Linked DNA regions of Canis lupus familiaris. The protein of the gene in region 2 purifies or fractionates together with the protein of the main gene of each other region. This does not show direct contact. Links are inferred from orthologs where the notes say so. Each region holds a gene or a part of one and is shown on either strand. Other genes may lie near its edges.

What was found.
Region 1: the proteins of ABCA1 (region 2) and NR1H2 purify together in Homo sapiens (affinity purification with western blotting; 3 studies listed by BioGRID and IntAct, with this or other methods). This does not show direct contact. The link is inferred for Canis lupus familiaris from reciprocal best matches to the Homo sapiens genes ABCA1 and NR1H2.

Annotation. Positions count from the first base shown.
Region 1 is NC_049222.1:107,001,500-107,006,085, forward strand, and holds the start of NR1H2 (oxysterols receptor LXR-beta), read right to left. Parts: upstream 3,048-4,586; 5' UTR 2,887-3,047; intron 2,774-2,886; 5' UTR 2,613-2,773; intron 2,050-2,612; 5' UTR 2,031-2,049; coding exon 1,988-2,030; intron 1,907-1,987; coding exon 1,775-1,906; intron 1,421-1,774; coding exon 1,130-1,420; intron 1,053-1,129; coding exon 787-1,052; intron 574-786; coding exon 394-573; intron 1-393. UniProt on the Homo sapiens protein: Nuclear receptor that exhibits a ligand-dependent transcriptional activation activity. Binds preferentially to double-stranded oligonucleotide direct repeats having the consensus half-site sequence 5'-AGGTCA-3' and 4-nt spacing (DR-4).
Region 2 is NC_049232.1:61,251,156-61,255,698, reverse strand, and holds the start of ABCA1 (phospholipid-transporting ATPase ABCA1), read left to right. Parts: upstream 1-1,645; 5' UTR 1,646-1,835; intron 1,836-4,543. UniProt on the Homo sapiens protein: Catalyzes the translocation of specific phospholipids from the cytoplasmic to the extracellular/lumenal leaflet of membrane coupled to the hydrolysis of ATP.

The DNA.
Region 1 (4,586 bases), on a different chromosome or scaffold from region 2:
GGGGACAGGCAGTCTGTTTTCTTCATTGCCACATACTCAGCACTTGGAGTGGAGCCTCATATATGCTAGGAATTCAATATTTATTTGTTATGGTTGCTTTGGATTAAATGCCAACTCATCTGAATAGCCTTCCCAGCACCACATTCTTTCCAGCCCAATCCTCGATTTTTCCCAGCCCCGGCCCCTTTCCTTGTTCTCTTTGGCTCATGGGAGGCTCTGATTATCTGTTTAGTATTTTGGCCTTCCCCTGTAGGGTATCCTCTCCACAAGGGCAACAACTGGAGGTATATGACTCATCACTATACTCCCAACAGCTTTCCTGAGGCTTATCCCTGGAGCTCCTCATGGGCAGGAAGGAAGGGCCTTGTAGAGGATGGGCAGACTGCCCATTACCTCAATGGTAGACGCCTTCAGGAGGGCGATCTGGTCCTCGCGGCCCAGCTGCAGGAAGCCAGGCACTTGTTTGGCGAAATCCACAATCTCCTGGACTGAGATGATGGCTAGTTCCGTGAAGTGGGCAAAACGCTGCTGGCGGGCATCGCGGGACTGGGGGTCTGCACCCAGAGGCCAGGGCTGGGGAAACAGGGGCCAGGGTTATTCTCAGGACTTCTCCCTCAAGCCCAAGGCTGCAGGGACACCTTGAGGCAAAGACTGTACCCTAGGAGACCCTCCTCTCCAAGGCCCTGCCCTCTGAAGGCTTGTTACCTCCCCATGCCCTTGGCTACAGCCTTACTGGCTCAACCCCACCATGCTCATCATCCCTCAAGGCTGTGGGAGGGGAGGTACCGTGACTTTGGGCTGGTCAGAGAAGGAGCGTTTGTTGCACTGCAGTTGAGCTGCCACCAACTGTTGGATCATTAGTTCCTGAGCAGCTGTTAACTGAATACCCTCGCCTTCCCCAGAGCCCTGGCCGCCTCCGTCAGACCCTCCAGGGGAGGCCCCAGGTCCACAAGCTGTGCTGCTGCCCATTGGCCCTACTGGTGACTGTTGCTGCTGCTGCTGTTGCTGCTTCCGAATCTTCTTCTTTCGGATCTGTTCCTCCGAGAGGACGCCTGTTCGGGAGACAGAGGCCTCAGCAGAGGCCCCAGGGCTGGGCAGGGGTCCGGCCGGCTCTCCCCCCAGCACTCACACTGCTCCCTCATCCCGGCCTCCTTGCACTTGCGCAGCCGGCACTGCTGGCACTTGCGCCGCATGAAGGCGTCCATCTGGCAGGTCCCGCCACCCCGGCAGGCGTAGCGCCTGGCCCCGCCTCGGACCACACTGCGCCGGAAGAAACCCTTGCAGCCTTCGCAGCTGAGCACGTTGTAGTGGAAGCCAGAAGCCTTGTCCCCGCACACACGGCACAGCTCATGGCCCAGCATCTTTGGGGCTGGGCCTTTCTTTCGCTTGCGCTCAGGTTCCTCAGCAGGGTCTGGAACGACTGGGGTGGGTGGTCAGGAACCCTGAGACACAGGGCCTCGGAAGGAAATTGCAGCCCAAGGATCATCCCCACAAGAGAGAAGCAAAAAGCCAGGATACAGACAGTGACCCAGGGAAATGGTGTCTCAGAAACAAAAGCGTGCATATCAGTGAACCCCAAAGAACAAATGACAAGTGGCATCAAGTAGGAAAAAAATATGCTCACGGGCAAAAAAAGAAAAAAAAAGTGACAAGTAAGCATGGAAGAAAAAATTAACGAGAAATTGGGAGCCTCCCATCCTCATTTCTGATCTTTCTCCCTTTCTGGATCCTTCCCCAACCCTGTCCCAGCCCCTGTCCTTGGCCCCCATCTCACCCCCGCTGCAAGCGGAGCGGGCCCAATCGCTGCCTGGGACATCAGGATCTGGACCCGAAGGCCACAGTTCAGGACCCTCCTCCTTTATCGCTGGTGAAGAAGATGGGGCGCTGGCTTGAGGCGGGCCATTTCCTGGGAGAGGTAAGCACAGTGAGTTTCTCCTGACAAGTGTGCCACGGGGGTCGGGGCTGGGCCGGGAAGGAGCTCACTCACCAGGCAAGGGCGTGTCCAGAGAACTGGTGGTGGGGGTGGACATGGTGGAGTCACGGAGAAACCTGCAGAATACGGGGGGACCGAGAGCCTTGTGGGGCCAGGGAGGCTCAGGTTAGGCCAGCCCCAAGTCCTGATGCGGGCACCTGTTTCTTCCATTTTTCCAGGCTCCTCCTTTACTGCAGAGACCCCCGCCTAGCCCCTGCCTGCCTCTGGGACCTCTCCTCAGGTTGGGACAGAGCCCGCCCCCGACCGCTCCAGGCCTCCACAGGCTCTCAGCCCTGCCCTCACCTAGACTCCGCCCCTCCCGTAGGCTCCGCCCACTCCGTTCCTGCAGGTACTGCCCTTTCTGCTTCCATCGTGCTCCGCCCTCACTTCCTCCATCCCACCCAGTTTCACCCTACCTACGAGTAAGAACTCCCCACCTCCGCGGAAATAGCATCCCCAACTCCCACCCTGACCCCACCACCTCCCCTTGCCCCACCCCCACTTTTCCATCTAGGTCCCGCCCAAGCCTACCAGGTCCCACCCTCACTCCAGCCATCACGCCCCGCCCCTCCCCTTGCCCCGCCCCGCCGGTGCCCCTCCCTGCAGGCCCCGCCCCACCTCCCGTCAGGCCACGCCTCACCCCTCCCTTCACGCTCCGCCCCCACACCTCGCTCCAGGTCCCGCCCCTCTCCGAACACCAGTGGGGGGCGGGGCTCATGGCTGCGCGCGAGGGTCTTGTGGGCGGCCTCTCGCGGGGTCTCCTACTCCCGTTGCCCTGGAAACAACCGGAGACAGCGCGAGCTACGGAAGGGAGGGGGGGGAAGGAGAGAAGGAGGCTGAGCGGAGCAGCGCGGGGAACGCCGGGAAGCCCCGGGCCCAGGACGCCTCCCGAGTCTCCCCACACTCTAGTGCACCTGCCTCTGTCCCCTTGCTCTGCTTTTCCTCCTCCTTCTCTGTATCCCCTGGCACGCCGCCGCTTCTCGGATCCCCTCAAAAGTAACTTCGCCACTTCTTCCGGCAACCCCGCCGTGCGTCACTTTAGGAAGGGGGCGGGCAGTCAGGAGTGACGGACTTCCGGTCCGCTTAACTAGCCAAATCGGCTGCCCCGCACGGAAGTCGTATTCTCACCGGAAGCTTACCGTCCGGAGTATTTCCACCGAGGCCTGGCAGGAGAGTTCCGGACCAGTTCCCGAATGTAGTGCGGGAGGGGGCGTGGCCTGTCTCAAACCTTCCGAGTGGGAGCTGGGCTGCTTTTGCTCCAGCCCTGTTCCTCTCTGGGCTCGTAGCTTGGGGGTTTACTGGTCACAAAGCTCCCGACCTTCTGCTCCTTGTCGCACACGTTGATTTGAAGCATGTTTGTCCTTGTTTGATTAACAAGTTTTCTGGTTTTAGAGGCACGTTGCTTATTGGTTTGAAATAAATTGAATTGCAAACCTAGACCCAGGAAAAATCTATTAAAAAAAGAACTTGTTGAGGGCTCCCTGGGTGGCTCAGCGGTTTGGTGCCTGCCTTTGGCCCAGGGCATGATCCTAGAGTCCTGGGATCGAGTCCCATATCGGGCTCCCTGCATGGAGCCTGCGTCTTACTCTGCCTGTGTTTCTGCCCCCCCCCCCCCGTGTGTCTCTCATGAATAAATAAATAAAATCTTTATATATATATATATATAAAAGAACTTGTTGATATGAAGATTTAAAAAAAGCATAACCTCATAACCAAAGTGATACAAATAATAGCTTTTAAAGATAACTCACAGTACTTGAATAGGTAGAAAAAGGGAACTGTTCTGGTCTTCCCTGGATGATAATCAGATCTATATTGAGCATATATCCGTTTTTTATTGCAACGTATGAGTCATGCTCTTTTATAATTTGTTTTGTCCATTCCGACATGACCTTGAAGCTATGGAATCGGAGGATGTTACCACTAAAAGGGGTGATTACATGGACATAGAGTGGAGAGAATGGCTGAACTCGTGTCTCTGTCACTTCCTAGTTGTGTTATGTTGAGCCAGGCTATTGACCCTGCCTGTGCCTCAGTTTCCTTTCCTAAACTGGGTCCAACGAGGAGGCTGGGTGGCTCAGTAGTTGAGCACCTGCCTTTGGCTCAGGTCGTGATCCTAGGGTCCTGGGATTGAGACCGCATCAGGTTCCCCGCAGGAAGCCTGCTTCTCCCTTTGCCTGTGTCTCTGCCTCTTTCTCGGTCTCTCATGAATAGATAAATACAATCTAAAAAAAAATAAATTGGGCCCAATAAGAGTTAGTTGGGTTGTCATTACAACTAAATAAGGTAAAAAGAATGAGTCAGGTCAGGTTCAAATAAGGAGAGCCTAATATGTGAGAACTGTGTTTATTCTTGGGGATGCTCAGGTTGTTTTTAACTTCCCTAGAATAGTGCAAAAGGCTGAAAGAGACTGAAAATGAATTACAGCAGTTTGGGGCAAGGCATATCACCCTCAGTCTCAGTTGACGGATCTGTAAAATAGGGGAAGTTATTCCTATTTCTTAAGAAAGGTGTGAAGATTCAGGAGGGGCAGTGCCTGGCGCACCTAAGCATCCAGGGTGAAAATTCATAAAGGGAGACCTCAGTAAATTGAAAGGGGCAGACCAGCAGGGGG
Region 2 (4,543 bases):
GAACAAAATTCACTTTCAGAAAATCCCTGTGAGGCAGAGAGAGAGAGAGAGAGTATACACAGTCTATTTTACAGATGGAGAAATGGAGGCAGAAAGTTGCACATCATGTGGTTCAGCCACATTTGACCCAGAACCCAGTGTCTTGGCCAGAGTTATCCTTTGAACCAAGGCAAGACGCTGCTGGGCCCTGGGCTTCAGAAGGCTTGGCTCTGGCCCTCCTCATAAGGGTGAGCACTCCCAGGGCCACAGAGCCATGCCACCGGAGTTAGGAGTACCCGACCAGGGACCCCAGAATTCCTTGCCCTGAGGCCCCTAAGTGCACTTTCAGAGCCTGCATGGGCCTCCTCACTGGATCTGTCCTGAGCACTGACAGAAGCACTGATGTGTGTACCTCTCTCTCCAAGTCGTGGTCCTGACTAGTGAGTACAGTGTGGTGGGGTGTGGAGGGGTGTGGAGGGGTGTGGAGGGGTGGGGGCTTGTACAGCTGAAGCCCACTGGAGTATAATGGAGCTGGGGGTGGGAAGACAAGGGGTTTGACACCCCCCCCTCCACCACATTCTTGTCAAAACTCAGGTCAGACCCTGAAGAGTCTTTATGTGAACCTGCCCTTCCAGGTTGCTTCAAAGACATCTTTGTCAAGGCAGGAGACCTTTATTTTACATTTTGTTGGCTGGCTGTATGATTTAAATATTTAGACAAGGTTTGTGGGCCTCCATTCGCACTTGGGCTTCTGTCCCTCAAATGTTATGGGCTGTGTGCTTCTGAGTGTCATGGCTAAGCCAGAGGAGGAAGCTGGAGAACTGGAATGGTTCTATAATTTCACAACCGTGATCCTCTAGCTGCACTTTGCAAATCTACAGAAGCCAAAACACGAGCTCTGTGTATTTATCACTGAGACTCCCACCAATATAATGAGCATAAAAAGGGGGACACTCATTCACATTGTTCCTTTTTTTTTTTTTTTTTTTTTTTTTTGTGGCCTCCCACCTCCCCCTCGTTTTGCAAAAAGAAGGAGCAAGAGGCTTTTCACTGGCCCTCGCAGGGACCTGGGAGGCCCAGGCTGGGAATCCCAAAGGCAATAAATAAGTCCCCTATTGAATACCAAAGTCAGGGTTTGTGGTGGAAAACAAAAACTGCTAATTATCCGGAGGACTGTCCGTCTTCCCCCACACCCTGGGCATTTGAAAGGAAAGGCTAAAGGGTTGGTGTCCGGAGGGGTTTCAGCCGCTCAATCCCTCCGACCGGGGGGAAGTAACAAAGGGGGGAAAACTGCTGAAAGCACGAGTTTGGAGGAAGCGGCTTCCACCCGTGCTATTGGCCCAAGGGAACGTGCAAGGAGACAGTCCCTGGCTCGGCCCCAAGCCCCGGGCTGCGCGCTCTCCCCGGGCAGGCGGGCTCGGGCGGGGCAGGGGGCTCCCGGGGCCCCCCGCGCCCCTGCCCCCCGCCCCGCGCCCCCCGCGCCCTGCCCGGAGCAGCGGGACGTCGCCCGTTTAAGGGGCGGGGCGCGGCTCCACGTGCTTTCTGCTGAGTGACTGAACTACATAAACAGAGGCCGGGGAGGGGGCGGGGAGGAGGGAGCGAGCGGGCTTTGACCGGTAGTAACCCCGGCGCCCGGCGCAGCCGAATCTATAAAAGGAACTAGTCGCGGCGAAACCCCGGTAATTCCGAGCGGGAGCGGGCGCGGCCGGCACCTCCGTCCCCGGGGCAGGTGGGACCGGCGCACCCACAGCCCGCTTCTCGGGGTGCTCTGCCCCTCGCCCCCCCCGTGTCCCCCCTTCTCCGGAAGGGTTTTCCAGGGGTGGGGGCAAAGACGCGCACAGAACAGTGGAAAGCAGGTAAGAGGCTCTCCAGCGACCCGGGCGTTAGGGATCTTGCTTACGGGCCGCCGAGGCTGGGGAGGCGCGGGGCTGGGGGCGGCAGCCCGAGCCCCCTGCAGCGGGTGGGGCGGGGGCGGCGTAGGTGGGGAGGGCGCCCGGGACCCGCGGGAGCTGCCGCGCTCGGGGCTCCGCCGGGAAGCATCCCTGGGCGCGGGCGCCGCGCGGCGGGGGCCCTGGTGGCACCGGGGCGCTGCTCCCCGAGAGCCGCACCGGCACCCCGCGCTCCCCTTCGTTGCGGAGAGCCCGAGCCGGCCGCGAACCCCTCGGGCCGGGGGGGGGCGGGGGGCGCAGCCTCGGGCCGTTCTTCCCGGGGCCGGCCTGGCCGGGCTCTGACCTGGGGCTCGCCCCGTGCGCCCCCGGACCGCCCGCAGCGCGCTTCCTGCGCCCCGAGAACTCGACCGGGCGCCGTCCCGAGCGGGCTCTGCCGGCGCTGCGGGCCACTTGGGGGGCCCCGGGGCGCCCGCCCCGCTGGGGTCGCGGTCCGTTCCTTTTAAAGACAAAAGACTTAGAAGAAGAGGCTGCGGAAACCTGGAGCTGAGGTGCGCGGCCCCCCGCCCCCCATCCTTCCTGCCCTTTGCCGCCTGGTCTCTTGGGGCAGCCTGAGGCCGGGCACGGGTGCGGAGGCCGCGGCGAGACGGTGCCGCGGAGTGACCGGGAGTAACCCCGGCGGGCGGCGCGGAACTCGGAGCTCCGCCGCGGGGCTGGGCGGGGGGAGGGGGGGCGGGGATGGAGGAGGAGGCGGGGGATGCAGGGGGGCGGGGATGCAAGGAGGGAGGGGGATGCAAGGAGGGAGGGGATGCAGGGGGGCGGGGGGTGCGGGGGATGCGGGGGGAGTGGGGGATGCAAGGAGGGAGGGGGATGCTAGGGGGAGTGGGGGATGCAGGGGGGCGGGGGATGCGGGGGGGGATGCAAGGAGGGAGGGGGATGCAGGGGGGGCGGGGGATGCAGGGGGGCCGGGTTCGGGCTGCCGGTGGCTTCGGGGAACCGGTCCGCAGCGCCTCCTGGCCGGAGGGCCTGGGAATCGACCCTGTGGCCGGAGGGGGGGCCCGGGCTCCGGGAGGGGCTGTCGCTCTGGGGTTCCGACTGAGATCCGGTGGAGACGGGTGGCTGGAGACGGGGAGGAAGCCCGGGCGAGGAGGCCGTCCGGTGGTTCCTTATCAGGATGCTTCGATTCCCAGATCCATGTTACAGGAGAAGGGTCCTGGCGCGGGCCAGAGCCGAGGCTGTGTGTAGTGGCTTTACCAGCACTTATCTTATAGAAGGATATGAACAAGATGCATGTGTGAGAGACAGAGAGAGAGAGTGAGAGAGAGAGAGAAGCCTCTGGCCCTGGAAGCAGTTGGCCCCTATCTTTTGCAGCATTGATACCGTCAGCTTTTAAAACCCCAAACTATTATTCAGTGACACCTCGCACAGAGAGTGGGTGGTATATATACATCCATGTAAGAGGACATATTTGATATTATGAAACATTTCCTTGGTGATGAAAATCAGCAAGTCACTTTTTAAGGGCCCCAGCCCCCCTCCCCCCCCAACCAAGAACACCTTACAAAATTTTCCAAGTTCAAAAGCAGTTTTACTGTTTTGTTTGTTTGTTTGTTTGTTTGTTTGTTGTTTTTAAACAATCGTTTGGGACCCAACCTAGGTTTTGAACTTCTTTTCAGACAGAACTTAAATCCTAACTTTAAAAAAGGGCTTCCTTTCTCATCTTGCCTTTTATTTCAGCCCATTTTTCTCATACCTGCCACAAAAATAATGGAGGTTTCCTGTTGTTTGAATCATTCCCTTGAGACACTTCTCCTAAACCAAAGTGTGAAAGCACGGAGAATGTTCTGGAGTAGGACCTCTTCAGATAATAAAATAATTTTCAGGTGCAGAGTGTTCATTGTCAGCCTGTTCCCCAAATGCTCCTATACAGCAAATAATTCATGACAGTTTAAAGAAATTTTGGATACGCAGAGCAAATTGGTATCTACTTGAAAAACAAAAAATAAAAAACCCCAACAGTAGTAGAATCAGATTGGCCAGGCTTAATGATTTAAGGGATGAGAATTGCTGTTCTAGCCAGAGTAATTCCCTTGCAAGGACAAGCCTCATGTTCCACAATGACATATCTGATTGTGAAGGGGCCACCTGTGATATGTGTGTCTCCTCCTCATGAGCATCTGAAATCTCAACCTTCATAAATATTTCAATCTACATCTAAATGGAGGCCTGTAATGGACACATTTTTTTTTTTTTTTTTTTTTTTTTTTTTTTACTTACGGCATATTTACAGTTCATATGAGACAATGGTCAGTCTAGGGTTCAAAAAGGGTGGTTAGGGCTTGGTTGTTTTCAACCTCTGCTCTTGGAAGTCTCAATGCTAACATTATTAAAAATGAATGAGACTCAGCAACACAGCTTTTTATTACCCTCTGTAGTATTTCCCTTATATGGAGAGAAGTTGAAATATTTTTCCATCAATTTTTTAGGGATCAATTCTCCCATAAACCAAGTGACTTAGGCTATGTTCATAGTGATTGAGAATTGTTAATATTTTTGCTATTTCAATTTCTAGCTCCTAAAGTAATAGTAGACATTACCTTAGATGCTTTAATTATGAACATTTTGGGTATCTAGAAATTACCAGTAGACATGTGGTTTTGTACTTCTAAAATACTCTC